Linked DNA regions of Schizosaccharomyces pombe. The protein of the gene in region 1 interacts with the protein of each later gene in a biochemical or structural test. Each region holds a gene or a part of one and is shown on either strand. Other genes may lie near its edges.

Region 1 (17,020 bases):
ATCCAAAAATGTGATAGCACCATATTTCTTAGCCAAATCACAGATTTCGGAAATAGGTGCAACGTTTCCACTCATACTATAAACTGACTCAAAAGCAATGATCTTTGGGCGATTTAAGGGAAGGGAAGCAAGTTTGGCTTCTAAATCAACAAGATCATTATGCTTGAATATGATTTTTTCGCAACGAGAATTACGAATACCATTAATCATTGAAGCATGGTTCATTTCATCACTCAAAAATATGCAGTTAGGCAATTTCCTGCCAAGTGTAGATAAAGTGGCATCATTGGCCACATAGCAACTTCCAAAAACGAGAGCAGCTGGTTTTTGATGTAAATCAGCCAAGGACTTTTCAAGGCGTACTGCATGCTGATTATGTCCAGCAATGTTTCTAGTACCACCGGCACCACCACCATAGGTTTCAATACACTGGTGCATAGCCTCCCGAATTTTCTTATGACCACCCATGTTTAAGTAGTCATTACTACACCAGACTTCAACGCGCGTATTCGGATCAGCCAAATGAGCAAGAGGATACTCTTTGGCGAGGCGGTTAATATTATTGAAGTAACGATAAGATTTGTCTCGATGTTTCTTATCAAGTTCTTCACGATAAAAAGTGTCATAGTCGAATCTAGGAGTGGTGGCAGGTCCAACACCGTTCAAATCCGAAGCATAGTGCTTTGGCATTTGGTGCTTTTTAGTAACAGGAGTAGTGGTAGCAGCCTCAGCAGCAGCCTTGACAGCATCAGCATGGCGACATGTACGAGAACCAGTATTGACGACGCCAGCCTTTAGATGAATCTCATCCAAAGAAGGCTCCATAGCCATTTGCTTGGAGTCGGATTTAAACCCACGAGACACGTCAGCACCAGTAGCAGCAGCCACAGGAAGTGCATGTCTAACAACTGGACAACGGGCTCCTGCGCGAATAAGACCAGCACCAGCCATACGACGCAAAGCACTAGGATCGGCTTTACTAACGAAGGGGCAGTGCTTTGCAGCTAATTTCACAACGCGTTCCATTATTTAAATAAGAAAAATAAAGAAAGAGAGTGACAATGAAAAACCCAAAACCAGCAAAAAATCGATCCAATCTTATAGAAAAAATGCGACCGAGAGAAGAGGATATAGAGTCAACGCTTTGACTAATATATATTTTTTATTTCTTAAAACCCTTTCAATGGATCAACCAACTTTCAAAGTGTCTATCCAATCCTTCTTACAGAGCAAGAAAAAGGTTGAGCAAATTAGAAAAAAAAACAATCCAACCAAGACCTAGCGGGCAAATAACGATGCTATCGACTGTGGTATTAGAAGGTACGAATTTGCAACACCCCGGTATAGTTATTTAGGGAAAAATATTACGGTATCCAAATCGATCTCTGGATAACGATGGGAAACGTAGAAAGAAAGCAACAGGTCAACCTTTAGTTACTTATTTAAAGAAATAGGTAAGATAAAAAATTTACCTTACTATAAATAAGACAGAAGATGTAACGATGAGAAATATTATCGGAAAACCAGTCAATAAACTTAAATGTTTTCAACTGGACGATATTACAAGCACAATTCGTTTCGGAGGTTAGCTTTCGTTAAGTTTATGCCTAAAGAATTGCTGTTCAGTTAGGAAATTCAAAAAAGAAAGGAGGAATTGCGGATTTTATTGCAACAGCGGATTTCGTCAAGATTGTCCTAGATAGCAACTATTACAAATCGCTGTGCGGGCCTAAAAAGGAACTAGGTTAGTAATGAATCCTGAAACGGACGCCTCGCTATTTTTAAGCACCAACAAGACTCACGAACAAGAAAAAAAAATCCCCGACGGCAATTTCCCGAAGGAAGTAAATGTCAACGCCCAATAATGGCGCATCTAATTACATGCATCCCCAAACGAATGGAAACAAGATGGCCGCTAGTAAAAATGAAATCAACTTGGAGCAGCTTTTCCATTCAGAGATGCATGCGCAAATGGCGAGGAGGATAAGGATGACTGTGCGGGTGCACGATGCATGCCTTATGGATTTTCTTTATCGTAGTCTTACCTTCGCTTAAGCGGTTTCAGCGCAATTTTGTCCTTATAAACACAACTGCTAGAGACACTGCCTGTCTCGTTCCTTACCAAAAATTAAAAGAAGAAAGTGAATCAACGAACTTTTTTTTTTTATTCCCAAGAAAAAAAACACTTTTATTATATTATTCCTTCGTATAACAGGAAAAAATACGCGTTCAATTGTGGCTGTCGCAATTTTGTCCAAACCAAGCTGGGGATGGTAAAAGGTAAAAGGAGTTTGTGCATTAGAGGAAGCAGTAGTGAAAAATGTTACCACAATTCATGCACCTACAAAAACTGTCATCGCTTTTCTAAAATCGCTTCATTCTTTACAATAGTAATTTAATATACTTCTGTTTTGTAGCGCAGTATGGAAATCATTTTTTTTCTGAAATCCTCGGGCTTTTCCTAAGTGAAATTGTAACTTAATTACACCCGGTTTTGTTCACCAGCGGGGCGGTCGGCTCCCTAAACTCGTAAACCCCCATTGTTCCTTGTCAGGATTTGCTCGCAGACAATCCGACCGCCAGTGCGGAAGAAAAATTTCCACTACCGCTTAGCGGGAAGATTGCGACAACGCCTTGTCGAGTTGGGTCGTTTGGCTTAGACAAGGAGGACACGGAGTCTTAGCTACCTAACACACTAAGCTGACTTGGCAGGCTATACAAAGTAGGCAGGTAGTTTAGATGCTAATTGCATGTTCATAATGGTATGACCGATTAGATGAAAGAGCACATGGAGAATTACATAACATGTTATTTATTACAGCGGAAGCTTTCAAAAGTTCTTATGCTTACAAACATATTATTATACTGAATTATCATTCTATATGACTGAAAATTCTTTTTATAATTTGGCTCTTTTAGCTTAATTTGAGGCTCTTTCTCCGTTTTAACTCTTTCTTTTTGTAATGAAAACAAGCTTGGCAATGCATTGTTTTTCCCTTTACTGTGATCAACATGGTGTTGTTGCCCTTTTTCTTACGCAAAGCTCGCTTCTTCTTACTGTATACTAATTTAAACTCGGATCAATCGAGAAAGTTCAAACATCTGCTAGTATTACTACTGCCACCATGGTTTTTTTTGTGTCCATTAATAGAGAGATAGTCCAATCAAGTTGATTTTCATTTTTATTACTTTTTATATCCTTTATACACTATAAGTATATCTTTTATATTGGTTCATGCTATACTCTACACAAGTATGAATCTTGTATCAAATGCAAAGAAAAACTTTCCTTTTCCATCTTGACAGTGTATTGTTTGCCCAATCAAACAAATCCTTTTGATAATGCCATTACTCTTCGTTGCCTCTCCATTCTTTTATTCAAATTACACTTTTAGAAAAAACAGCAATTGCTTTCACTCATATTTCGTCAATCGTAAATTATTCATAATATTCATGTTCACATATCATCGAATTGCATATTTTTGCGACATTCATCATCTGAATTCTTTCAAAAGTTGATGGGCAAAAGATGCCGGCATTGGTACGCGGCTAGAAATGCAGATATACCTCCAATTCTCAACACCCATGCTATACTATTGTCGGCGATGTCTCGATGACTGCCCTCCGATTGAATAAATACAATGGTGGCAATGATGGTGCTCAACACTTGGGGGGCAGATATAAATACATTGTGAACACCAATCATTTTGCCACTGCTTTCTCGTAATCCAAGCTTCCCTATTTCTGAAGAAAATAGCGAATATGGAATCCATAGAGTACATGCCCAGGACAGTCCACAGATAGCTACCATTGCCTGCGCTTGCCATGATGTTTGCAAGAATATCGTGCTCAACATACAAACACCAAAAAGGACATGGGAGCTCAACCACAGAATAGGAAGAGTAAGTCCTTTGATTTGTACCTTGGAGGATATCGTTGTCATAATTGATCTACTAGACGGTAAAAGCCTGCGTCGTGAGGGCTCATTTTCCGAACGGAAAGAAGTTGTTTCGCTCAAATTACCAAGACGGGGTGTATTAGTACCAGTTCTTATATTTCCGAGATCGTTTCTTTCTTGAATGTTGTATTCATTATTAGATGCATCACTCGATTCGTCCTCCTCATCATCCTCCGTGTCCTCGAGCAACAATGGAAGTGCTGTATTTGCGGCAAGAGAAATGATAGCAAAAAGCAGTAATGCGAACGACCCTTGACGAGTCGCCATGTCCCAATCTTCTTCATGGCCTTTAGGAGCATGGCGTAAATATAAAATACCCACATAGGTAGTAATATAAAACAAAAATGGAAACCATCCAAAGTATGCAAAAAATTGAACAAAACAAATTCTTTTTAATGTAAATGGAAGTGCGGTAATACTTTGTCGCATAGTTGTAAAAAATTCAAAGATTTCTCCAGCAACCGATTTCTCGTGTTCAACTGGTGGGAATCTCCTTTCACTCACAAATATTGTTGTGATGGTAACTGTGAGTACCAAGGAAATGGAGGCAAGTACGCAAAACACCTGTAACTGTGTGAAATTGAGAAAGGAGAAGATGCGATATAGAGGTAAATAGCCTAGTAAGTACCCAAGCACATTGCCTACACCTATCATTCTTCCAGCCCAGGAATTTGCTTCATGCTGTTGATCTGAACGGACTGAATCAACAATTAAAGATCGAGTGCTAGCCATTACTAGTTATAAAGTTAGTCATTTGTATGAACTACTACTCTGAAAACTAAATCCCTAAATTCACATACCGACATTGACGGCCACGTCAAGCAAATAAATGCTAATCGTAGCCAAAACGATAGTAACACGTTTCATTAGAACCTCATTGCTAAATATAAAGAGGCAAATATCAGGGGCCCAGCCCATAAGGAATAAGCTGAATGTTCCTAACAAACTAGCACAGAGCATGAACGGTCTCCGCCGACCTATTCTTGAATTAACCCGGTCGGACAATATACCAGCAATTGGCTGAATTAATATTCCAGTCAAAGGACCGGCAATCCATATAATTGAAGTCCATTCTTTACGAAGACCAAGTGAGAATAAATACGGTGTACCATAACCAAGTTCAACCGACCAAGTCAATTGAACTCCCAAAAGTGAAACTGTAAGAGCTATTAAGTAGAGGGAAGAGCGAGAAGGGATAGACTCTTTAAAAGGTGATGATGCCTCATTTTCGGAGGATAGAAGTTGTCCATTCTCCAATTGATTTTCATCTACAGACATATTTTAATGAAACTAAGCTTTAAAAGCAAAAGAGAAATGAGAGGAACGTTTGGTGGAACTTCTTTGGTAAGAGATATCTGTTCCTACAACAAAGTTCAGGGGGATTCAATTATGATTGAGAGAAATGATTTTTTAATTTTTCAAAATAATTGATCGCTGTCTAACTTGCAATGAATGTATCTGATCCTTGATAGCATACAACAGGCCACAATGTTTTAAATGTTAGTCAGAGAGAATAATTCAAATGATAGAAGTATAATCGAATATGTGATAAAAATCCTTCTAATTTCGGGGATTTCAAGAATTATTATATTGATTTTAGCAATGTTTGAAAGTATTAGACATATAATTTTTCACAACGATACCAATCCCAGTGATGCTCGAAAGTTTCAAATGGCAATTTGTAGATTAAGTTCGCAGAAAAGCAGAAAACTAAAGAATCCGATTGAAAGTTCAACGACGAGTCACAAAAAGAAAGGATACGTAAGAAAATGTTATGAATGTCTGCAGATACAGGTTAGTTGAACAAAAGCGATTAAAATGAACATAGAACAAAGCATCGTGTACTTACTTTGAAATCGTCAATAAGCAAAAAGCTTCAATTTAAAGCAATAAGCAAGGAATAAGAAATAATAATAAATAATTAAATAATTCCTTACTAATAAAGTACCTTTTAAAAGTATGAATTCTTATGAATCCTTTCAAATTACTACACCTTTTAATATGCTTGGTTTAGAGGAGCGACTCCATCAGCCCAGCTCCGCGTAAATGTCATGTTGACGTTACACTGTGATTCTGCACTATAGGACATTACACCGCGGCACACTGCATTCCTGTATAAGTCAAATGCTTTTTATCTTTTTGAAATATCGTATAAATAGATGCCGTTAAGTCCTAATGATGATTAGTATATTTGAATCTTAATTTAATCATTAAAACTATATAGAATATTATCAAATTTAAACTGCACTCATCAATTTACTAGTAGCTATCGCACTTCCAATATTATTATAAGAATATGTATACATATCAATAAACATCTCCAGGGGCGCATTCTGAATACAGCAATATTCCGGTAAAATGGAGAACTTTTACGGTATTTTATTGCATCCTTGAAAACTAAAGAGCAGTTCGTAGCGAAACGATATATATTTAGCGAAACACAATGTTGCAATCAGTATACTCGTAAGCTATATTAACGTGATTAAGTATATACATAAATATTGTAAAAAAATAAGGAGAACGCAGCCATTCCTTATAACGATGAATAATTCTTCTTATGGTTAATGTACAGAGTTAGACATATTTATGATTGACCTAGATAATTGTCTATGCTACTCAATAGCTTTCTTTGCACGTGTTTATTGGGCCTGAACATAAATTGGAGAAGTTAAAATATTGCCACGTTCGAGCAATAGTAATTTAAACTCAATGGTGTTATCCGCGCATGGCTTGTCGCTCAAATACTTCTCTTGAATAACATGGAGCTTAAATATAATTCTTTTTTAGTATTCAAAACAATATCAATCCGCCCCTAAATTCCTAAATAACATTGCATGGTTTTCCATAGACAGTGCTATTCTCTTCGTCAGCAGGTAACATGCAACCCAATGGACTTTTCGTAAATTTTTTGAAGAAAAATCAACAAATTTAAAGTGATATAGGGGAGCTACGTGCTAAAATTCTTTTTTTTTTATTCTGTAAATTAATTTATTTAATACATGAGATCATTATACTGTGCTGTGAGTGTTGAGATGCGTCTACGGGAAATTTGCAATATGAACTTTTTACTTGGTAGAAAAATCCTGTCAATACATGTTTAAATGTGAAAACAAATACTGGAATCCATTTATTTTTTAACGAATCATAGCATACCACTCTGGTAAATGTAAATCTTGGAATTGCTTGGAATGGTACTACCTGCCTTCCCCACACTCATCAGAGAACTACTACCAACAACTTCTTACAGTAAGTACAGAGTAAGATGGGGGACAATCCTTGGGTTCTCCAGGAACAAGTCCTCGTAGAACTTTCAGAAGTGATAAAGAATTCACTCTCCGAAAACTCTCAGACTAGGAATGCTGCTTTAAATGTAAGATTTTTTTTTTCTAAAATTAAAAGTTTCTTTCTCGTTGTAGAAGATGCTTCTTTTTACTTCACGTGTGTAACGACGTGTGAAGAAGAAATCAAATGGCATAACTAACTTTATTATAGTTGCTTGAGAAAGCAAAGGATATACCAGATCTAAATAATTACCTTACTTGCATTCTCATCAACGCTACGGAGCTTAGTGTTTCAATTAGATCTGCTGCTGGTCTTTTGTTGAAGAACAATGTTCGTGTTTCAAGCTTAGAGTCTGGTTCAGGTTTGCAGAGCCTCGATTACACAAAGTCAACAGTTATTCGCGGTTTGTGTGACCCTGAACAACTCATTCGAGGCATATCTGGTAATGTGATCACTACAATCATTAGTCGTTGGGGAATTAGTACTTGGCCTGAAGTATTGCCACAATTAATGGAAATGCTTTCTAGCCCTGCTTCTACCACTCAAGAAGGAGCATTCAGCGCCTTAACTAAAATATGTGAGGATTCGGCTCAAGAGTTAGATCGTGATTTCAATGGTACTCGTCCCTTGGATTTTATGATACCCCGGTTTATTGAACTTGCTCGACACGAGAACCCAAAAATTCGTACGGACGCCCTTTTCTGTCTGAACCAGTTTGTTCTAATTCAAAGTCAATCTCTCTATGCCCATATTGATACATTCCTTGAAACATGCTACGCCTTAGCAACAGACGTTTCTCCAAATGTGCGTAAAAATGTCTGTCAAGCTCTTGTTTACCTGCTCGATGTCCGTCCTGATAAAATTGCACCCTCCTTGGGAAGCATTGTCGAATACATGTTGTACTCTACTCAAGATTCTGATCAGAATGTCGCATTAGAAGCTTGTGAGTTTTGGCTTGCAATTGCTGAACAACCCGATCTTTGCTCTGCTTTAGGTCCTTATTTGGATAAAATAGTCCCCATGCTTCTCCAAGGGATGGTTTATTCAGACATGGACTTGCTGTTACTTGGTAATGATGCTGACGACTATGATGTTGAAGATAGAGAAGAGGATATTCGTCCTCAGCATGCAAAGGGTAAATCGAGGATTACCTTGAATACCCAGGGACCAATTACTCAACAAGGTTCTTCCAACGCCGATGCTGATGAATTGGAAGATGAAGACGAGGATGATGATGAATTTGACGAGGATGATGACGCTTTCATGGATTGGAATTTGCGAAAGTGCTCGGCTGCTGCACTGGATGTTTTATCATCGTTTTGGAAGCAAAGGTTACTTGAAATCATTCTTCCTCATCTGAAGCAAAGTCTTACGAGTGAAGATTGGAAAGTTCAAGAAGCCGGTGTTTTGGCCGTTGGTGCCATTGCAGAAGGTTGTATGGATGGAATGGTTCAATATTTACCAGAATTATACCCTTACTTTCTTTCGCTTTTAGATAGTAAAAAGCCACTGGTCCGTACGATTACATGTTGGACCCTTGGTCGATACTCCAAGTGGGCTTCGTGTTTGGAGTCCGAGGAGGATCGTCAAAAGTACTTTGTCCCACTTTTGCAAGGATTGCTTCGCATGGTGGTTGATAATAACAAAAAAGTGCAAGAGGCTGGTTGCTCGGCTTTTGCAATTCTGGAAGAGCAAGCTGGCCCTTCGTTAGTTCCTTATCTAGAACCGATCCTTACCAACCTTGCTTTTGCATTCCAAAAGTACCAACGCAAGAATGTGCTCATTCTGTACGACGCAGTTCAGACCCTCGCTGATTATGTAGGATCTGCTTTGAATGATAAACGGTATATCGAACTATTGATTACCCCATTACTTCAAAAATGGTCCATGATTCCTGATGATGATCCTAATCTTTTCCCTCTATTTGAGTGTCTTTCATCTGTTGCAGTGGCTTTGCGTGACGGATTTGCGCCATTTGCAGCTGAAACGTATGCACGCACGTTCCGAATTCTTCGCAACACCTTATACCTAATCACTACTGCACAAAATGATCCTACAGTTGACGTTCCAGATAGGGATTTCCTTGTTACTACATTGGATTTGGTTAGTGGAATTATACAAGCTTTGGGTAGTCAAGTTAGTCCTTTGCTTGCGCAAGCTGACCCACCACTCGGTCAAATCATTGGCATTTGTGCCAAGGATGAGGTGCCGGAAGTTCGTCAATCTGCTTATGCTTTGTTGGGAGATATGTGTATGTACTGCTTTGACCAAATACGCCCGTATTGTGATGCTTTATTGGTGGATATGCTTCCCCAAATGCAACTTCCTTTGTTACATGTGAGTGCATCGAACAACGCTATTTGGTCAGCTGGCGAAATGGCTTTGCAATTAGGAAAAGACATGCAACAATGGGTAAAGCCGTTATTGGAGAGATTGATCTGTATCCTCAAATCTAAAAAATCGAACACTACAGTACTTGAGAATGTTGCGATCACGATAGGCAGATTGGGTGTTTATAACCCGGAGCTCGTTGCCCCTCACCTAGAGTTGTTTTATCAACCTTGGTTTGAAATCATCAAAACGGTGGGTGAGAATGAAGAGAAAGATTCCGCGTTTAGGGGATTCTGCAACATATTGGCGTGCAATCCACAAGCACTTTCATACTTGTTGCCAATGTTTGTCCTTTGTGTGGCCGAATATGAAAATCCTTCAGCCGAACTTCGTGATATGTTTCAAAAGATTTTACAAGGATCTGTGGAGTTGTTTAATGGTAAGGCATCCTGGCAAGCGAGTCCTGAAGTGCTCGCACAGATTCAGGCACAGTATGGTGTCTAAAAATTTCACATTTGAAAAGCTCAATAAGCACCTTTTCTTTGTTGCTTTTTTATGAAGGAAAGAGAAAACAAAATTTAAAAACAAAAAGTATGAAACAAGTTGTATGTATTATATTAGGATATTCAGGTGAATGTGGAAAACAGGAAGAAGAAATGCAAGGAAGACTAGATATTAATAATTTGCATATTGCACATTTGAGGTTACAAGAATGACGGAAAACAAAATTGGAAAAATAACCAAACCCAGAAGGGTTGGTACTTTTGGGTTTGGTTTTATTTAATAGTTCCGCCCAAGTATCGACGTTTGTATGTATGTTTCATGTATGTTTGCGGTTCAATGACTTTTGTAAGAAAACACAAAAAATATTCAAGAAGAACAGCATTTATCAAAGAATCATCATCTGAATCCTTTTATTTCTCGGCCATCTGTGCAGTGGGAAGGTTTTAACTTGCATTTCCCCTTTCGCCTAAGGATATTGAGGAAAGCAAAAACACCCGATGATTATCTTTCAATTGAGGCTGCACATTCAAACAAAAAAGGTTGATTTCCTGCATAATGGGTTCTGTTGCATGTACAATCGTTTTTCATCACTTACTTCCTGATGCGAAAATTCTTTTACTTAATATTATTTATTGAATTGAATTCACGTTCATGCAGTCTACGTAAAAAAATCAAACAACGAAAACTAATCATTGTAGTTTAAAACTTTTCCCTATGTTTCACATATGGAATGGAGCGGCAATAGTCTGGTAGAGCAGTCCATTTCAAAGTAGCGCATTCCATACTATTTTAATCATACATTTACGTCGGTTTAAAAGACACGAATAATGTTTAAAGGTAAGATAAATAAAATGTATAATAAAACTTGAGAGCGTTTTCTCTTGTTGATTATAAGTCTACCACACCTTGATGTCAATTAAGCTAATACTCAGCAAGTACAAACGCATTGTTCATTAAATGCATTTTTATCAATAATTACTATTGGAGTTCAGTCTTTTGCTCTCGCATAAAAATCCGCTTAAAAACTATAAAACCCGCTCAATCACAAATTTCTCAAAAAACCGCTATATTCGCGATTCAGCATTTGTCACAAGCTTCGATTGATCTCATACATAGCATTTTATTCATTTCATTCTCGAACGAACATTGCTGAATTCCATCGATCGATTAGTACGAATTCGAAGCTTAACGAACTTTTGTGACGAAAAGCTGGGTTAACATCATTCTTTACATGTCGCTGTACGTAAGGTAAAAACGTGATGGTGCTTCGGGATGTTGCTTATCATTACCACTCATTAATGTTATATCAGAAGTTTTTCATGGTATAAATAGTACTGTGTTGTTCGCATGTCGGGTTAGCAATACCATTTTAGTGAAAAGAATTTATAACGTTCTTTTCTTTGGTAGTTGAAAATATTGAATATTTCAAAAATACTCAATAGCATTGAAAAACAGCTTGGTTATATTCAATTTTGCTGAATCTCGTTGATTGCTTAATTGAATAATTATCAATTTCCTCGTTCATTAATTTTTGACTTTTTTCTTTTAATTTAATTTTATTTTTTTGTTCATACATTATGTTGGGATCATTTGTTAAGTTAAACAATGGACTTAAGTGCCCTCAATTTGCTTACGGTTCTTACATGGTGAATCGTACAAAATGCTTCGATTCGGTGTATGCTGCCCTTCAATGCGGATATCGACACATCGATTCGGCTCAGATGTATCACAACGAGGCTGACTGTGGAAGAGCCATCCTTAAGTTCATGGAAGAGACTGGTACGAAACGAGAGGATATTTGGTTCACTAGCAAGCTTAATGATTTAAGTGGGTACAAATCTACTTTGAGCAGTATTGATGCCAGTGTTAAGGCATGTGGCCTTGGCTATATTGATCTGTTTCTTCTTCACTCTCCCTATGGTGATCGTATTGAATCATGGAAGGCGTTGGAGAAAGGTGTTGAAGAGGGAAAACTTCGTGCTATCGGCGTTTCCAACTTTGGTCCTCATCACATCCAGGAATTGTTGGACAGCCATCCAAAGATTATACCATGTGTCAATCAAATCGAACTTCACCCTTTTTGCTCCCAACAAAAAGTCGTCGATTACTGTGAATCCAAGGGTATCCAACTTGCTGCCTACGCTCCTCTTGTTCATGGTGAAAAGTTTGGCAACAAGCAACTTCTCGCCATTGCTAGCAAGTATAACAAGTCTGAGGCTCAAATCATGATTAGATACTGTCTACAGCGTGGATTCATTGTACTTCCCAAGAGTTCTACTCCCAGGAGGATCAAAGAGAATGGCGACGTTTTCGATTTCGAAATATCTAAAGAGGATATGGAGAAGCTCTACAACTTGGATGAGGATTATCATTCGGATTGGAACCCATGCGTTTCCCCTTTATAATATGTTAAATGATCGTCTTGTAAGAGCAGAGAATGCATTTTATTATTTATTTCCTCTGCTATCCCTAGATATGCTAGTATGATAGAATTTACGAAACTCAATTTATGTCAGCTTATATACCAAACATGCATCCAATGACTGTTAGTATGAATTAGTATGAATCCGATATTACTTTTATCATATACGATCATAGATTAGAAAATTCGTATTACTTCCATTGATTTGTAAATGCTAGCATAATGTATCGTAAACTTATTAGAAACCTAAAGTACCTCATGGAAATGGCTCATTTTGGGTAGAAATATATTCAGACTCTTTACTATGTAGCTAATTAAAAGCAAATTCTACCCTAACTTTGGTTTTATCAATTCACACACTTCTCCAAGTACTTTTCGCTTCGTATATGCGACGTATGCGCACTTCACTCATCCACAACACCACACAATAAGACTCCATTAATTGCTTTCCTGTGAGCTCAAGGTACTAAAAACATGCTATTCTTAAAATCCAGCAGAGCATTTTCCAAACGACTGTTTTCTTCATCGACTGTTCGTTATAGAGATATTCAACGTTTGACATTGACTGGCAATTTAACAAAAGACGTTGAGCGTTTGCAGTCTCAAAAAGGAAACGAATATATGCGTTATACTGTAGCTTCCAATAATGGAAAAGACGTAGCCCCTACCTTTCACTCGGTTTATGTTTTCGATAGTTACAATTTCGACAGACTTCAAACTATTTTAAGGAAGGGAACGCGTGTTTATGTGGAGGCCGATGCTGTTTGGCGTTCCGTCCCAGCTGGAAATGAAGGATCTCAAGCGAAAATGAGCCTGCGACATGGTACGCAACATTGCAATGGTCCAAGTTGAAGCCTGAAGCAAAATTTGAAAACAGAATATAGTATTTACTAACCTCTCTTATTAGTATCTGCAGACGTTTTATTTTATCCTCGTAACAAAAATGGCGATGAATCCGGAGAAGAGACTCATCCTGAATTAGACGCAGATCCTATGATTAACAGCTTCTAAAATTCGTGTTTCTAGTTTAAAAATTTTCTGCACTTTAGACCGTTAATATATTTGGGTGGTATTTTTCTAGGGATTATTGAGTTTAAAAAGTCTCCTAATTCATTTTCTCTGCATTATGCACATACTTGGTATTGCTATGTATTTTTCATTTGATGTTTATTTCATTATTCCGCTGGAAATAATCTACCCATGGCTCTTCTGATTTGTTTTTATAGACAATAATGTCTCTGCTGTAATGTTTTCATTGCGTTCTAGGAATTACTTAGTCACCTTTACTCCTTCTTTTTCAAAGTGACAAATTTGTTAGTCCTTTACAGTAAATTAATAATCATTTTTTTTTATTTTAAAGTGTACTCTACGATTTGTAATATTCAGTTTCTTTAATTCTTTTCATTTAATGACTGATCCTCAAACTTCGTTAAGTTAGATTTCGCAGCCTCTGTGACTGTACACTACACTTCGTCAAACAAGCAAAGCTCTTTAAGCGCTAGCATTTTTACCAACAGCATCCACTATTGGAATGGCAGGTGACGAGTTAAAGGGCAAGAAGCGGAAATATAGAGATTCCCATTCCGGTGATGAAAAATCCGTTAAGATATTGCCTTTGAGTGAATCGAGTTTACCACCACTTGTCACGACAATTTCCGGATTTTATCCACCCGAAAATACCCGGTTCCAGCTTCTCAAAAAGAGCAATCAGAGCAACAGAGATGCGTCGTTAATTGGAAGGACAGAGCGTGTTCAATTTGAGGCTAAAAATCAATCAACGGCTACGGTTGAGGCAAATTACTGTTTAGCTGTTGCTGATAAAACTGGTCGTGTAAAAAAGATTGTTCCAGCAAAGTATCTTAATACTTTTGAAAGAAATATTTTGGCACTTCAGGAGAAGGACAAATTTTTGAAAAAGAAGCATGGAACTGTAAGCGGTACTGTTATGGAACAGCGTGCCAACTTGGGTTTGGCATTTGGTACAAGAAAAAGTCAAAAAGCTATTATGGAAGAGTCCGCCAATCGTGTCAAAGCTGAAACTTTGGGAGATGTCAAGGATCAATTGGTTAGTAATGTTCAAAAAGCTACTGAAGCACTTCCAACGCAAGAAGATATCGCTGCTGCTCAAGCGCAAGATCGCCCTATTCCTCCTGTCAATGTCGGTGCTGAATCCATTGAAGATGCATACAAATTGGAGGACATTATTCCCAAAGAAGAGTTTTCAGCTATTTACATTAAGCCTCTGTTAGAAAACCCTGACGAGCGCAATTGGGCCAAATTATTGCCGTACCGTCACTCCTTGTTTATTAATGAACGCTTCCAGCGATTACTTTCCATTGAGGAGGTTGACCAGAAGCGGGCGAGAATTTTGTATTACATTTCTCTTTTGCAAGCTTTTTTGTTTTCTCGTCGTTCTGTGGGCAACCGTGAAACTTTACGTAAAAAATTGGCTGATCCACCAGAGATTCTTATTGATGGGTTGATTAAACGTTTTACTCAAACCACCGGTATTGGTAGCGTCCAAGTATCATCTCGAGAAGTTGATAAAATCATATGTTATATTCTGGTATTGTGCTTAATCGTTGATAATTACTCAACTGATGTTCTTACCTTGGCAAATGACTTGAATGTCAAGACCATGAAGGCTAATGAGCTTTTTAGAACGGTGGGTTGTCGAATTATGGCTTACACCGAAACTCAAAGAATGGCTTTAGGTCTTAACAAAACTGATGCTAAAAATCATAAGCGTGCAGTATTAAAAATTCCCCTAGAGTTCCCTAAACCTCGACGTGGACGCGCTAGAAATTAGAGAAAAGTACAGCGTTGTTTATTTTCAAAAAAATGTGTGTGTGTTTTTTTAAAAAAAAAGAAGGACGGTATATATAGAAGAAACAACTACTGAAGTTCGTGATGTTCGATATCTCCACTGCTTATAATTGTTTTGGACGTCAAAGCGACATTGAGATATCCAAATAAAGTACCAACAAATTTTCAGAAACTTCTTATGGGAATACGGGATTAAAGGTGTTTTTTTATTATAGTGGAAGTACAGAAAATAATAAAATTTTGCATTGTATAATACTTTTGCTATAAGGCAAAGAAGGGTGACTTAGATGGTAACTAACTTTCAAGCAAAAAAGTTACCGTTTTACTCAATAAATCCTTTGGAAAGTTATAACATTGTTGTTTGACTATAGGGTAACAAATGACAATCGAAACTTAGATTCATGTTCAAAACCACCGTATTTATGATGTGCTAGGGGATGGTCTTTTGTATACAGTAATTGCTACAATCACCTGAGCATTAAATGAATTGGCAATAATATCAAGTTAGTATTAATTTTGAAATGGATTAATTATGTGGCCGTAAGTGTTTATGGTAATATGAAACAACACAAAGAAAGGAAATAAAAGGAGCGTGCAAATCCAATGATCATTTGAAACCATGATACAGTTGGTTTTAATCTTTTTCAGTATAACTTGCCCATAAAGCCACCAACTCGTTTCTCGTAACTGGCTCTGCCAAAATTAAACCGTCTCGTACAACCTGTTTAGCCTCTTCTATGCGATGCATTGCCTCCAAAGCCTTTGCTTTCCTATAATAACACTTTCCATAATTATTTCGAATTTTCAAAGCAGCATTTGCATCTGCTAAAGCTTCGGGGAATTGGGAAAGGGCAATCTCAGCAGCCGCCCGATTACACAACATAACACTTGCTTCTTCACGCGTAAGAATCGACGGTTCCCAAGTACAGCGATTCAAAGCGAGTTGTAATGCTAATCCATATAACTTTTTTGCCTCCTCATACTTTTTGCGTTTAAATGCCTCGTTTGCAGTTTGCTTCATCTTATTAACTTGGGTAGACAAGGCCATATTTGGCTTAGCAGGAGGATAGGGAGGTGGAATAAAAAAAGGATATTTAAACGTAGCTAATGACTTGGCGTATTCATTAACCTTTTTGCCCAACTCCAATTCCTTCCCACTCCATTTTGACACATCAACTTGAGGTGCAACCACCGATTCTTGTTTAGCAACCATCGAAGCAAAGTTTTAAAAGAAGAAGTAGTGAAGCTGCTCTTAATGTAAAGCACAAAGCTCGGATGGATTATTATGTACAAATAATTTAGAGAAGACAAGCAATGTTCAATGCAAGTAGTAAACTTGAAAGTGTTAGCAGAACGTGTCACAATACTTTAACACACATAAATACTAACTACGCAGTTTGTTATTTAATTTTAACGATGTGTAGAACTGCAATGAGCTTTATGATCTATTATATTGCAATATTGCAAAAAGCAGGTAATACAAGTAGCAACCGAGGACATATATAATATTTTATGTACGATCTATTGTTACCTATCATTAATATAGCTTTAACTAAACTGAGGAACGAGATTCAGCTGTACCTCTATTTATAATTGTTCTAAAGGGTGTTTTTAATAAAATTTATTTAGTTAGCGGATAGTTACCCATAATTATTAATAACCAGATCTCAACTGATATTCCAACATATCACATATAG
Region 2 (16,272 bases), 3.9 Mb from region 1:
GAGTAGCAGCTGCCGCCGGAGTAGCAGGAGTAGCAGCTGCCGCCGGAGTAGCAGCTGCAGCAGCTACAGCTGGGGTTATACCTGTGAGTGGATCAGGGCAGGTTCTGAAATATGTGATGGGACCAGTAACGGTAAAAGCCTCGTTACAGCCATCGCAGTCACCATCACCAAAGCTACCCAGAAATGCTAAGCGCCTTGCAAGTTGGTTTCTGCGACCGCAACCGTTGTTCTGTTCAGACTCACAGCATTTGGGTTTCTTCTTCTCACAGCATTTGGGTTTTTTCTTCTCACAGGACTCCTCATCATCACTGCTATCATCATCACTGCTATATTCCCAATGATGGTGAGATTTTTTGTGTTCCTTGTGATGACGAGGAGGAGGAGGAGGATACCAGTAAGTTGGCTGCTGATGTTGGACATTGGGCTTTCCATCAATAGTAACTTTGTTAAAGGCATCAATTAAAACCTTCTTTTGCAAAATATCTAAGCTATCATCTTGCTTGTAAGAGCACAAATTTCCGAGACCCATTTTTAAAGCTGAAAAGTTTTACTAAAGTTAGACTTTTGTGTGATTTTTTTGAACAGAAAATTCAAAAAAATACTTTTAAAGATAGAAAAGTTGAAATGACTTTCCCTGTATTCTGAAGAAGAAATGCTTTGATTGATGGCTGCTCCTGTAGTTTTCTTTTTTAAAAAAACCGATTTCTAGTTAAGTGAGTAAAAAGAAATGGTAAGAACTGAATTAAAAGTTGGAATTTCCCCTTTCTTATATAGTTTTTTTTTTGTTTACAGTGGATGCTTTCAGCATAAACACATGTTTTGTTTATTAAAAAAAATGACGTATAATCATTTTTGGAGTTTCATGATTGGCTAAAACAAAATATTTTTAAAAATAGAGTTATAAGTCCCCATAAAAGAAAAAAAATACGTTGATAAAGGCACGAATCGCAAAGCTTCAATTGTTTACGTTCAAGCAAAGCATTAATGTAAATTCAATTCCTAGAGGTTTATTGGTTAGATTGCTTAGTGCCTTTGTTCGTCAAGTTAGTGTTTCGATGCCGACGGGATAATCGTGGGCGTAAAGATTACTACACTAGCCGTTTTTTGTTTACACTGTGACGAACAACCACAAATTCTATTATGCTATACATGGAATTAAGGATCATTGTTTTGTTTGCATTTAATTAGTTTACTTTTTTAAATTCTTTAAGTACGTCTTCTCTGATTCTGAAAACATTTGCTTAAGGCAAATGTTCGCATCATGAACACAAGTTGTAGGCTATCTTTAACTGTATCGCATAAAATACATCAAATATATACAAAATATTCGATTATTGGGTTGGCTTTTTGAAGAAAGATTTTCGTTTTCTGAGGCAATCAGATATAAAAATTTTCAAAATTGTTAATTGTTATGAATTTATTCCTTGTGTTTACGTTTAGCAAAGTGATTTTTTGTTTTTATGTCAAATTGATTATTTTTATGAACATCTTGTGACTATCTGGTTATGGTTCTTATATGTTACTAAGATAGCCCATGTCTTGTAACAATAATTTTTCTAGTATAACATAAAGTTTGTAAATACAGTCATGCCCTATAAGCTGATTTCGATAGAAAAACAATTCGGTTAAGGATGTTATATGGTTAGTTTGAATTAAATTTTTCTGAAATAATATCACAACGTTGTATATTGACTTCACCACATTACACTCAGCATTAGGTTTTACAATTGCATATCCTTAAAATTTTTCTAAATAACAAAATAGACTATAACGAGCTAGTTCAGTCGTCTATTCGATTTGAAAGCAAAAGTGGTGAGGTCAACTTTATAGTAAATTTCGGTGATTCGTTATTCAAACAGCTCTTCACCATAATATTATAAAATCTTTAAAACTTATGAGCAATAATAACAGAAGTTCAACAGAAAGTGATGGAAACATTTTAGAAAGGATCACTTGGTTAATAGCCGTATACGCTTAAAAATTTTATTACTATAAGGAGAGACGAAATGATATTAGATGTGTTTTTAAAAACGTTGGATTCGTAAGCGTGATACTGACAACTTTATTTAACGTTTGTGGTGATCAATCCTATATTAATATAAGTTGGGTAAAATAATCTCATTCGCTTAATGAAAAGCTTAAAGTCGTTTATTGCTTAACAATATAGAAACATTTAAAAAAAATTCAATTGTCACTAAGTTTTAGAATTATAAATTCGGCATTTTTTATTTGCACGAAGTACAAAGAAAACCGAAGTTCCCTAAAAAAGAAAGAATTTAATGTTACTATTATTCTAATAGAGCTGTGGTTTAAAATTCCCTCAAACTAAGCCAATAGTGATTACTGAATTTTTCCCACTATATTTATACAGTAGGTCAAAATTGGAGGAATAGTTGAACTATAATTATTTCGTTGGCGTTGTAAAAATCTTGAAGGCGAAAAATTTACTACTACGTATTAGCTTACCAAACCAATAAAGCTAAATCGATCCAGAATAAATAATTATTACTAACAGCCCAAACAGGTCGTTGATGGTTAAGTTGCGGGTGCCGCTTATCTATTTAAAGTTATCCGACATAGCGGATTATTACCGAATAGGATAATACATACTAATAATATATATATACCAGATAAATTTAATCAAAATTTACCGAAAAATGTTGTATACTCACGCTAATATTATTACGGTAAATCCAACACGTGATATACTAATTGATGGAGCAATACTAGTCAAGGATGGTTCTAATACCATCGATGATATAGGAAAAACGGATAGACTAGTTTCAATATATCCAAATGAAAAACATAAATCTTTAGAAGGCCATATAGTGATGCCTGGACTCATATCTCTCCATGTACATCTAGCACAGTCACTTTTGCGTTCTGCAGCCGACGATTTGCCTCTAATTTCTTGGTTATGTGACACTGTTTGGAAGATGCAGGGTAATTTCACCCAAGAAGATGGATACGTTGCTTCGCAATTAACCATTGCGGAAATGTTAAAATCTGGGACCACAACATTCGTTGAGGCACTATTTGCTCAACGGTATGGAATTGAGGGTGCGGTCAAAGCGGTAATAGAATCGGGAATAAGGGGTTGCATAGGAAAAGTGGTAATGGATCAACCAAGGTATGCTACTCAAACTGGAGTTAGCATGCATGAGGGTTTGATTGAAAATTCTAATTCGCTCAACCAAGCAGTTGAAAGCCATAGCAAATTCCATGGGAAAGGAAATGGCCGAGTCGAGATATGGTTCGGAGCACGAACACCTGGTGGTGTTTCTGAAGAGTTGTATCGTAAAATGGTTAAAATTGCCAGAGCAAATAATATTGGAATTACGATGCACTGTGCAGAAGTAAAAGCCGACAGAGAGTTTTTTGCTAGCAAGGAACATACTCCGATGACATACTGCAAAGATCTAGGTCTTTTAGGACCAAAGACTGTTTTAGCACATATGGTTCATCTCGATACTCAAGATTTAGAAATTTTGGAGAAACACGGAAATGGAACTTCTGTGGCTCATTGCCCGGTATCAAATTCCAAACTAGGTAGTGGAATCGCCCCACTAAAAGAAATGCTCGAGAAGTCAATAATAGTTGGGATTGGTTGTGATGGATGTCCTTGTAATAACACTATGGATCTATTGCAAGAAATGAAGATGGCGTCTTTGCTTCCAAAGGCTTTACATGGTGATCCGTCTATAGTTCCCGCTGAGAAAATCGTTGAAATGGCTACAATAAATGGTGCAAAGGCATTGGGAAGAGATGATTTGGGCTCTTTAGAGGTCGGCAAAAAAGCTGACTTCATTTCTTTAGATTTATCTAATAAGCTTTATGCGCAACCTCTTAGAGATCTTGTATCTGCTGTGGTTTATATTGCTACTGGAGCTGATGTTGCGACAGTAGTAATTGATGGAAAACTGATTGTGGAAGATCATGTTTTATTAACGATTGATGAACCAAAATTGATTGATAAGGCTAAAAAGCATGGAAAAAAGCTTCAAGAACGTGCCAAAGTGGATGTGAAAGGCCGCTGGAAAGAAATTTAAGCTTTGATCAACGGATGACAAACTGTAACTATATCCTTCATGTGTAAGCTTTTTACTCAATAAAAATTTTGATTGAAAACAAATGGAACGAACCAAATAATTGTGTAGTTAATTTTCTTTGTAGTTGATAAATAAGTGAATTCTCAAAGTTTTCGTTAAGCTCAAAAAGTTCATTATTTAGCGCAACAAATATCACGTTCAAGTCCTAAAACTTATGATTGTTTTTGCTGTTATCATTTAACTTAAATGAAAAGTAACATTACTGAAGAGTATAATATGATCCCGAGTCTGCTATTCATTATTAAACAGTAATCGTCGCGTCTACCTATTTAACATCCTTTTTTTTATTTTTTGAGCCTTTTAATTTAATTCTGGCGTGTTGAAACATGGTTTTCTTTGTTCTGGTTTCACTTCAACACTGTTAACCATTTCATGATTTTATGGTCACTATCAGATGAGATAATAGCGGTACTTTCAATGCCTTTAACAATATTATTTGGTCAAATAAGATGGTTTAATGGAAGACACTTGAGCAAGTTGACTGTTCCACTTCTGATATGACTTTATAGGGTTAAGATGGAATGGAAATTTTTTTGCACTCATTAGTCTGACTTATAATTTTTAATTTTCAAAAAAAAAAATCCGCGATTGCTAAAGATATTTACAGAATTACTGCGTGCTGACAAATTGCAGCCATTAAAATGTTATAGCGATAACAAGGATGTTCATTTTTGCATGCCAACCGAAAGGACGAATTTGTAACCGGAAAATGAAATACGGAAAATAAAAACTTTTTATTTAACCTCTATCATCAAAATTGTAAAAGGAAAGCCTCGCCTTTATATCCTTTTTGCGGTTGATAGAACTCCGATTTATCTGATCAAATGTCCATTAGTACGCCGGTTCCCAAAAAAAAAATAATAAAAATTTTACCTCCCATGAGAGAAGAGTCAAATTATACAAGCTTCCTTCATATGCAACTTTGAAAATCAGCTGCATGTCGTCTGGTCTTTTAAATTATAAAGCAAAAATTGATATAATACTACAACCTAGGTTGTGTTTGGTGCACGAAAATACAAAGCTCAAATAAAACGGTATGAAAGTTTCATGCTCCTAGTGTGAACAAATAAGGCTCAAATCAAATAAAATTTTGGTTAGTCGAGAATAAATTGCTCGAGAACAAGAAAGTTCAATGAAATTTTCTTAAGGTATATTAGTCAAAGTTGGCAAAGGTGCTTTTGATTATGAAATTTAATAAGAGTTCATAAGCCAGAATTCATAAAAACTAATAAAAAAAATTTGCAGACTCCATCCCAAAAAGACATAGGTTTTCCACAGCAATTAATATACGCTGAAGACTACTAAGGATTTTGAAACTAGAGAGATATGGGTTTTTGGTCATTAAATTTTCTTTTACTAGGATAAAACTGTTTACACTTAGAAAAGCATTTTAAAAAAATAAACACCAAGTTAATGAGAGGAAGGATTGAGACTTCACGGAATTACTACTCCTATATGTGAAGTATTTCGCAACACAACTATTTTTTCCGATTTCATGTGACGTTGGCAATCTGATAATTTAAGACAAAAGTCGACGAAAAGCAAAGATCATCTGATAGCGATATCTATTTTGAAGTGAACATACGATGTAATATGTGACATAAGTATAGTTAATTAGCTTAACAACAGTGCACTGTAGTTTCAAAATTTGCTTGCCAAGGCTTCATGTAACCACATGTTTCAATCCCTTCAGTTACTGATATTTAGCATAATTAATACTTGAGAATTGAGAAATTTTAAAGATGTATGAACAAATAAACTCAGTAAATAAGTAGGAAAACACGCATGTTAAGTTTATTCACTGCTTCAAAAGACTAAATTAAAATTAGCTAAAATCGCTCAAACTATACTCGACTTTATCGGATTAATAAATTAGCTAATCAGTAACCAGGGTTGTCTTGGCATCGGCATATCACTGTACAAAGAAGGAAATTGCGAATAACTACTAACTAAAGTGGAGATCTCATTTGTCAAAGTCTTCAATTCGAGCTTCTTAACCGCGGTGCCGTTTGGAGTTTTGTCAAAATAAGGCAAAAACTTTTCATAATCCGAACCATGATCTGATATGCGATTTAAGGTTAAGCGTCCATAAAAGCATATAAAAGAAGTTGTGCATCCAGCGAAGCAATTGCATATTATTTTGTTTACTATTGAATAATCATGGAAGCAAAAGAAACACATTCTATATCAGATCATGAAGTTGAATTGCAGGATGCAAAGCCGGAGGAGAAAAGCGAAAATGGAAATTTTGTCTTTGAAAAGGCTTTCTCTTCTGACGAGGAAAAAGGATCGGGCTACAATACCAATGAGACATATTCCAAAATGGATAACTCTTTACAGCACAGAGGAGTATCAAAAATTGAGGCTGTGAGAGATTCTATATATCAAAATAAAAGAGGAATGTACTTGGCGTACGCGTTTGGTATAGCAATTCTTGCTTGTTCTTGGGCAAGTGCCATTCAATCTTCAACAACATACAGCTATCAAGTGTATGCAACAGCCTCATTTAACAGGACTTCTATGATTTCAACTTTAGAGATTGCTACTGCGATTATTTCTTCTGTTTGTAAACCAATTCTAGGAAAATTTTCCGATATTACTTCACGACCTATGACTTACACTCTTGTATTACTGTTTTATGTCATTGGATTCATTGTTGTAGCCTCAAGTTCAACTATATCTGCTTATGTTATAGGTTCGGTTTTCATTTCAATCGGCAGCTCAGGGTTAGATTATTTAAATACCCTTGTCGTTGGCGACTTAACGTCCCTCAAATGGCGAGGATTTATGACAGCCTTGCTCAGTACTCCATACATAGCTACTGTTTGGTTCACGGGATTTATTGTTCAGGGTATTATAGATTCTAACTGGAGATGGGGTTATGGGATGTTTGCAATTATTATGCCAGCTGTTATGACTCCTGCGGTTATTATTTTGATGTATCTGGAACGACAAGCTAATAAAGATGAAAACATCAAGAAAATTATTAATTATCAAACTGAGGAAAAGAACAAAAATAAACAATCTAAATGGCAAAAACTCTGGAAAGCTGTCTTGGAAGTTGACCTTTTTGGATTAATATTATTAGGAGTTGGATGGTCAATTTTATTATTGCCATTTTCTTTGACTAGTTATGCTAAGAACGGATGGAAAAATCCAAGCATGATTGCAATGATGGTCGTTGGAGGGGTAATATTAATCGCATACTCTGGTTATGAAATGTTCATTGCTCCTTATCCATCATGTCCTCGCAGAGTCATGAACAGAACGTTTATTACAGCTGTTATTATTGATTTCTTTTATTATTTAGCGGGTTACTTACAATCGATGTACTTTACAACATATACTTGGATTTTATACGATTGGTCTTACAGAGATTGGACATACTTCAACAACACAATGACGATTGCACTTTGTGTTTTTGGAGTATTTGCAGGTGCCATGCACCGGGTTTTTCACAGGTACAAGTATTTGCAAATCATTGGTTTAGTAATCAAAATTGTGGGATACGGCATTTTGATACGACCAAATTTCGCGGCTACAGGAAAAGTAGATTTGGCTTGGTCATTGATTCTAATTGGTATGGGTGGTTCCTTCAGTGTGGTGGGGTCTCAGGTATCATGCCAAGCTTCTGTGCCTCATCAAGACTTAGCTATTGCTTCTTCTTTGTTACCACTTTATACCAATATTGGTGGAGCTATCGGAGCGGCAATCGCGTCTCCAATTTTCTCAAATAAAGTACCAAAGTATCTAAGAGAATACTTGCCATCTTCTATAAATGATACACAAGTTTATAACTTTTACAGCGACTCCTCTCTCATAAGAGAGTATCCCGTTGGCACAGAAATTCGTGATGGAGCCATTAAAGCATATTCCAGAAGCATGTTCTTTTTACTTGTTCCAGCAGTTTCTTTATCGTTTATACCTTTAGCTGCAGCATTTTGGCAAAGTAATTTTTACCTCGGCAATCAACAAAATGCTGTTGAAGGAGATCAAGATCATAAAAAAAAGGGGGACAAAGAAACCACACAAGAGGAAAAAATAATTATTTGATATTTTTAAAAGAAATTTTGTTTTAGTTTAGTTTATTTGGGTTTTTTTGCGTGGCCTTTCTATATAATCCGCACATTATTGTGTTGCTAGTTAATTATCATATTATTCTGAATTTCATTTTTTTGGGAATCCCTTGTGGTTAGTTGGGTAATATATTCATTTCAGCTTGCATATTATAAAATCTCGATATTTTTCTTAATACAAGTATAATATGTGTTATTTACCTCAAATATTTAGCCAAGGAAATAGTATATGCAGCTTCACAAACTTGTGTTCGTACATTAAATTCGAAACGTAAGTAGCCTTAGACACTATTTTGCAGAAAACTCAACAAATAACGTAAACACTGGGGGTTTTATTATCATGCTCTTTTTTTTTTAATGATAGAACGGAAAAATCAATTAATTCGTTTTTTTCATTCCGAGATAATTCAGATCTAAATTGATTTTATAGCAGGAAAACGTTTAGAGTAAAGTTATTTAGAGAAAAAATAGTTAATTGTTAAAAAAAAAAAATATGAAAGTGTGTACTGTTCGTCTTCAATATTTAAAATAAAAGCAACATAATTAGTACTAACGCGAACTGCCTTAAGTAACATAGTAATAAATCTGCCAACAAAAAAAATGTTAAGTAATGGATTGCTGAGTTAGTTTACAGTCACGTCAAAATTTAAAATATAAAAAATAAAATATTTAAAATAATATACATTCTAAGACTTGTACGCCGACTAGAACCAATATATGAAATTTATTCTTTTTCCTCCGATGTAGTGATATACAATACCCGGAAGTAATTGGCTGTGAAATCTGATAAACCTTATTGATTATCTGATGGAACATTACATGCCAATCTAGACGGTACGGAGAATTAGCGGGCAACGCACTACTTAATTATGGCATATCGTGCGCTATGGGATTTCAACTGCTACAAGTATTATTATTTTTTAGAATACTGAGCGTTCATGTTGCATTATTCAAGTACACAGAGCATGTAGAAAAGTCACCATCTGGTTCGGAAAAATTATGAGGAAGTTTTTAGAAACTAATTGAATCTAAAACCTATCTACTTCATTAATATTTGTTTACCCTTCTAGGAAGGTATATATATTTCAAGGAATGAAATGTAATCGAGGTAAATTAATGAAAATTCAATTAGTTTATCAAGTTCTAAAAACTGCACGCCTCGGTTGTAAGCACAGAACTCGAAATGCAGTGTGTTATTGATCGATAAGAGGATAATAATCAATTAGTGAATTGTGATGATTTATGATAGTCTTATGCAAACATAAATTTCTAAGAAAAATCGTTGATTAGAAAGGAAAATTAAATGAGCTAAAAAACAAGGAAAAAATCAGAGGGGTAAAGCAGTAGTTGTAGACCGTTCGTTATATCATCACCGAATGTTTCATTTTGCACCGTTTTTCACTCCCGCCTAGATTTTATGCACAATATCCATCTGATAAGTAAAATCGTAATTAGGTTTCGTCATCAATCTTAGTGGGAACATAAGAAGTTAACAAGGATGCGGCAGTTGTGCATAATGCACACATGGTTTATGGGAATTGGCTAAGTAACTAATTTTAATCGGCAAGAATCTTATCAGTGTTATAAATTTGGAAAGAATAGATTTACATGATTCTGATGTTTATTTTATTTCAAGTTTTAAATTTGAATGATTTTGCGCCTTTTGATGATAAATTTACAAATAGAATACTGCTATCTTAGAATTGCATTACTTTTAAGTTGCATCGCTACTTTTGAAAAATTCGCAATCAAGGTGTAATTTAAAATTGTTCCTCAGAAAGGCTAGGATTATGCGGTTCGTAGTACGGGATGATGCTGGTAGTTAAATGATTTTCGGTTGTCTCGAGCAATTAACTCGATATTTATATATTTTAATAACAATTAATCAATCTAGAATCAATTAGTGAGGGATAGTCTGATGCAGTTATCAAGATAATCAGATAATTTAGCTTAATTCATTGAATTTCCAGTACTATATAAGATGGCACAAAAACAAACTATCTTGGAAAAAATAAAATACGACCAGTTATTTTTTTAAAGCCTAATTGCTTAAAATTAAGTAGCTATGATTTCTTTAAAAATTTATTTTGTGCTGATTTTCTTGTTCTTAAAAGGCATTAACTCTGCATACGTCTCAAATGAGGAAGGAGAGACTGTCGATTTCACATTTTCTGGATTCTACGCGAATTTAACATATCCAAACGAAATTTCTGAATTAAACTACGTTGAAGGAAATTATTTGTCTACGAGAATTGTTCGTTTTAATGGAAGCTTTTATTGTGATACTACTATTTTAAGTGAAACCAACAACGTTACTGGGTCCTGCTACGTTGCGAATTGTGCAAACGATACAGTTTTGGAGATTTGTGACAGCGGAAAGGAAGTTCATTTCACAGACATGAGCGGAACAACTTGGTCAGCAGATACTTTTACTGAAAATTTATACTGGTTCTGTGGTGGTGATGGAAATAAGCCCAATATGACAACGGCGGCTGCAATGAATTCAGATATAGACTCCTACTATGTTTATGGAAATTGGACAATTGATACTGCTGATAGCACCGTAGCAGATTATACTTGCAATTATACACATTTCCAAGAGGCTGGAGATATCGAAAAGGGAGACGTCTATACAGCATCGGCTGATTCTTCTGATTCCTCTTCTGCTTCATCAACAATTTTTAAGCCTTCTTATTTCATTAGTTGTTTATTATCCGTAGGTCTTTACTTGGTTTTAAACTTTTGAAGACTTTGTTCTTTAACAATACCATTATTTACTAGGATAGTTATGGCCAAAGTTAAAAAATGAATAAAAAAAGCCAAAATGATTGAAGGCTTATGACTCTAATTCATTCCATTTTTTGAGTCCTGCTAATACTCTTATCACATGCTTTTATTCTATTTTATTGGCCAATTTATTTAATTAATTTACTTAGTATAAGTCATCAATTTTGTGATTTAAATTACATAAGTTAGACATCTGGAAAATAGAAAACTATTAATATTAAAGTATTATTAAGAGCTATTTTTAATTGCTATTATGATTCGAAAGCGTTTTCTTGTGATTGATTTAGTGGCATGTAACGGCCTAATAAATACTTTTATTCGAATTTTTACTAATAAATTTTTATCAAATGGTACTCTAAATAAGTTTAGTTTTGAGAAAAAAATTCACAAGTGATCGCCCTCCCTTGGGTAGTAAAAAAAAGAGGAGGAGCTCATTCCTTCTACCACTAAAAAGAAAGTATTGTTTTTAACTTTACATAAATCATTGGTAATCTTTTAAACTGCTTTACATCTTAATGGGGCAATGCGGTTTCTTTCTACTTAGAAGGACTTTCTGTAAGTTTTGAATTTCCAATGTATGCATTACTTCTTTGCGCCTTAAAAAATTTTTTTTAACAATATATTAACGACAACGTTATGTAGAGAAAAAATTATTATGAATAGGAAGGATTTTAAAAAAAATACTGGAAATTTGGTATCATTTCGCATCACAGGGATAAATACTAATTGCCATACTTCGAATAACAAACAAATACCTCAAAATTAGAAAATCATAGCAACAATATTTCATTAAACAATACAAAAACAGAAATTTCAAAGCTCTTATTCATTTTTTAAAATTTAGAATATTCGGCCTCATGATAATAAATCTAGAACTGCCTCGCTATCAATATAAAAACAAAATAAATGTAAAGAAATACAGGAACATTTAGAATTTTAATTTTAAAATTTGTTTAGATATACGTAGGGTGTGAATCCTCTGAAAAGCGATCGTTGGAAACAGCGGATCTCCGTGGCTTGACAGCAGACACGACAGATCCTGAAGAAGAACTACTATCGTTATTGTCTTCATCAGCATTTTCAATGAATTCTTCTTCTTGGCCGCGAATACCTTTCGATTTCTCTCTTTCACGCTTTTCTTCTTCTTTACTAAAGTGTATACGATGAGATTCAATTTCTCTTACATATTTGTAAGATTCCCATGGCTTAATGTTGGACATGTATAAGTCATTGACTTCCTCCAAAGTAAGACCTTTAGTTTCTTTAGCCAAAAAGAAAATCATAAATGAACTAAACAAATTAATGCAGGCGTAAATGTAACCAAGCTTGAATCCGATCGCATTGTTAATGAAAGGAGTAAAAAAAGAAATCATGAAATTACCCAGCCAGTTTCCCGATGTGGCTACAGAAGCGCATTTACTGCGATAACGAATGGGAAAAGTTTCACCCACAATTACCCAGCCCATTGGGCCCCAAGAACAGCAGTAAGAGAAAAGAAACAAACAAGAAAACACAATCATTACAGATCCTGCTCTGTGATCACTAGTACCATTCTTATATATGAGCTTTCGATCGCCTACAGCGGCATATATAAAGAAGCATATCGATTGGAAAGCAGCTCCAAAAATTAGTGGGTTACGACGTCCTAAGTTATCAATTGTGTATAAAGCACCAAACGTTGTACCAAAATTAATAGCACCTAAAATAACGGCTGGTAAGAATATATCCGTCATACCAGTTCCCTTGAAAACTTGTGTAGCATAATAGAAATAATAATTGTTACCAATCAACTCTCTGAACAACATGACAAGAAATCCTAAGCAGGTACGGTATCGAATATCCTTACCGAAAATTTCTATCCATCTTGCTTTACCTCCAGCCATTTCTATTTCAATATCACTCTTAATGGTATTAAAATTAGTTTGAATAATTTCACTTTCAGGACTTAGTTCCGCCATATTGCACATAATTCGAAGAGCTTCTTCATCTCGTCCTTTGTAAATAAGATAACGCGGTGATTCAGGCAAAAAGAGTACACCAACCATTAACAGGATTCCCCAAAGCATATTTATGCCAAAAGAAGTTCTCCATGATGCAGTCTTACGCAGTTTATGAGTTCCCATATTGATACAGGCTGCAACTAAAGCAGCACCTGTCGAGAAAATTTGATAGGTTGCAACAACTGCACCACGAATTTGTGGTGGTGCTACTTCAGATTGGTATCCAGGACTCAAGACTGACAAAGCTCCGATACCAACACCAGCAAGGATTTTACCAACCAATACTTGAATCCAAGAAGGGACTGCTGTGACTAAAAGAAGCTCTGCAATAATATATACCCCGCTGAAAAAGCAAATAGAGTATTTCTTACCAATTCTTTCGGTAAACGGCGAAGAAAGCATAGCACCAAATAAACAGCCAGCATTGATTGTACCAGTCAACAAAGCTTGTCTCCATGCTGAGTAACTGTAGGAATTTGAAATGGGATTGTAACGATCAGCAAAACGAGATTGAAAATCTCGCATGCCCAAGATGCCGCTAATGGAACCAGTATCGGCGCCTTGCAACCATCCGGACATTGAGATAAACACCACGAGAATTGATGTAATAAACCTATTCATATTTAACGAATTCAAAGATCAGGAGAATATTAGCAAAAAAGGATGAAAAAGAGTGTCCTCAAAATCAAAATAAGTAAAAGACGATACAAACAAGGAAATTTTAATGGAGAATTTAAAGAAAGAAAGAAAAAACTCCACGGATTTTTTAAAAAACGTAAAAACGAAACGAATGAATAAATACGAGAGAATTAAGTATAATGCAAATGAAAGCAACAAAGGGAAAATTAGGCAAATGTCAAGTAAAAGCAACCCTAAAAGTGGGCAAGAATTCGAAATCAGCCAAGGACTTTTTTAAATAGAATACGACACAAACGAAAATTTTGTAAAGCAGAAAAATGGGAGATTACAATAACAATAAGAAATGTGTTAAAAAGTTCGTTAAGAACTTTATTAAACTAAAAGACCGCAAGGGGTTTTTTCTTAACACACCAATAAATTGAATGAACGCAAGCACAGAGTAAACAGTTAATGGTTTAGATTGAGAGAATAAAGGAAGAGAAATTGTCCTTAATATACTATTCCATTTTGAAACATGTTTCTTGGATGGCTGACGTAGAATTGACTTGGAAGTATATGAAACCGTAAATTATTTACTTCTCCACATTTCATTCAACTTATAAACTTTGCCCCACCCAGTATCAGCTATTCGAAACTTTAAGAGGTAAATCCACTAAGCAACTCATTTTGCTAAAACGTTGAAAGACCCGTTTTTACTGTTGGTTAATATAAGGTTTAACGCAAAAAGGCTGGCAAGCGCACTTTCAAACGGTAAATGGGTTTAGAGTTCACATCTCTCAACTACCTCAAAGAGTTTCTCCGCACTTCTTTCAAAATGCTTTTCGGCCCCGAACCTGTAATCCGTTTAACATTGGCTGTCGAGAGCATGACAAGCATGATGACGAAAGGTACCCCTCAGCTGTTAAACTTTAAATGATGTAGTAAAAATAACTATGATTGGGCGTTTTTGATGTTAAAACTCGAGACTGAAGTTTAAAAGCTCTAGAAAACCATAAATTAAAGGCTCTAAATTTGCGATTCAAAAGGAGTGGAGAACAGAAAACTGGGTTAGCAAGGCCGACGGTGAATAAAGTTTTAAAAAGTTAATACTAAAAGTGGAGATGTAAATAAATGTGGAGAAAATCAGTAAACGAGTAAGGAAAAGCAAGAAATGAGTAACAAACTAAAATGGTAGTTCAATCGCTTAGAAGTTACCTTGCCAAACTTCCAATTTAGGGTGCATTATTTTGCTGCTGTTAAGCCTGTTTGCTACTTTCTGTTACACATTTTACCTATGGTCTTCACGTTAAAATTTTTGTCGTTTTCATTTATATGTTTAACCCATATGATATTGGCTTAGACAAATGATTTGTTCTTTAGTAAGTTTAATTACCACTTTTTATTTTGATATCGTTAATATTCGTAATCCGAAAGTGAACAAGTAAACCGTAATGCTTATTTATCACTTTCTATTCCACAAGATCGGTCTACAAAGGAATGATCTAATATTAGGTTACTGTATTTAAGTTGAATCGGCATTTTAGTTTTTAAAAGTAAATAAAGCGCAGAATGTATATCAACTCTTAAAGCATGCTTTAAAAAATATGCTTCGAGCTGACTAATCGTAACTGTTACTAAGCTTCTGACACTTTGATATTTTTAAAGAAAATGGAAGCAATTATTCAAACTTCCTATTAATATGTAAAGTCTCTTACTTTTTTTTTCATTGTTTAAGTTAAATCAAATTAGAACTAAAGTTGACTCAAAGCTTTTTTTCTTCTGAAAAATAACAAGAAAATTCCAATCACGAACCTATTTATCCCGTAGCTTAAAAATATCTTAAAGAAGGGATGCTGTTTGGAAGCCACTCATTGGAACCGTTTGCTATTCATACTTGCATTTGCTTCGTGATAAAGCGCTACCTTCTGCGAGTATAGTGAAATAGTGGTGAATGTATTACCTTACTCTTATTTTTGTTTACAAACTATTATTTTAATAGAAAACATAAAAAGAGCTATTGAAGGGATACTCAGATTTTCACGAAAACGAATAAAAAATACGATTTCCAATTAACGCGAAAGAAAAAGGCTTTGAAAAGAAATATTTATTTTGGTTAAAGGTGCAAATTTAGAAGTATATTTTTTTTCAAGTTGGATCATTCATGAACTTCCGCAACTCGTAACTTGTTAACAACAATTCCTTTTTTTGGAAAAAACAGGCAAGGAACGCTCGATTGAAGCTAATAGCCAAACGACATTCAAGCTGATTGTCTGGTTTAAAGTCTGCAAAGTCTATATTAATACAGATATTCAAATATCCAAGCATTTAATTTATTGAGAATTTTTGATTAGTACATGATTTAATAGTTATTACACATGAATCGCACTCCTTAACATTTTAACTGTACACAAGATTAAACATATTGTTAGTTTTCCTGCTACCGCATTTATTTATTTTCTTCACATTTTACTGCGAATAGTGTATAAGTTAAATCTAACTCGTCGTGTGTTCCGAGGGAAACAAATGGCTTTTGGATGCTTACTTTCTTTTCTATTTTACGATGTTAGTTTACAGAATTACGTTAACTCAATCTTCTCCTCTACGTTGTTGCTGAAAAATCCTTTGCATGTAACTTATTTTAGAAATCATAACAGAAATATTACCGTCTCTTTTTCAGCAAAC

What was found.
Region 2: the proteins of hem1 (region 1) and shu1 form a complex in vitro, tested with the Schizosaccharomyces pombe proteins (one study listed by BioGRID).

The regions. Positions count from the first base shown.
Region 1 is NC_003424.3:3,924,269-3,941,288, reverse strand, and holds the start of hem1 (5-aminolevulinate synthase), read right to left. Parts: upstream 1,625-17,020; 5' UTR 1,027-1,624; coding exon 1-1,026. Other genes in the region: plasma membrane sucrose/maltose:proton symporter Sut1, read right to left, coding at 3,509-4,692, 4,759-5,236; SPOM_SPAC2F3.07C (uncharacterized protein), read left to right, coding at 5,456-5,761; karyopherin/importin beta family nuclear import signal receptor Kap104, read left to right, coding at 7,221-7,328, 7,451-10,075; SPOM_SPAC2F3.05C (xylose and arabinose reductase), read left to right, coding at 11,653-12,480; single-strand DNA-binding protein Rim1, read left to right, coding at 12,972-13,320, 13,405-13,508; DNA-directed RNA polymerase I complex subunit Rpa49, read left to right, coding at 14,029-15,306; sec67 (translocation subcomplex subunit Sec72), read right to left, coding at 15,958-16,536. UniProt on the Schizosaccharomyces pombe protein: Catalyzes the synthesis of 5-aminolevulinate (ALA) from succinyl-CoA and glycine, the first and rate-limiting step in heme biosynthesis.
Region 2 is NC_003424.3:80,257-96,528, reverse strand, and holds shu1 (protein Shu1), read left to right. Parts: upstream 1-10,250; coding exon 10,251-10,931; 3' UTR 10,932-10,963; downstream 10,964-16,272. Other genes in the region: protein isp3, read right to left, coding at 1-529; hhy1 (hydrolase), read left to right, coding at 2,658-4,049; siderophore-Fe(3+) transporter Str3, read left to right, coding at 6,270-8,162; plasma membrane gluconate:proton symporter Ght3, read right to left, coding at 11,926-13,593. UniProt on the Schizosaccharomyces pombe protein: High affinity heme transporter involved in the assimilation of exogenous heme during conditions of low cellular iron.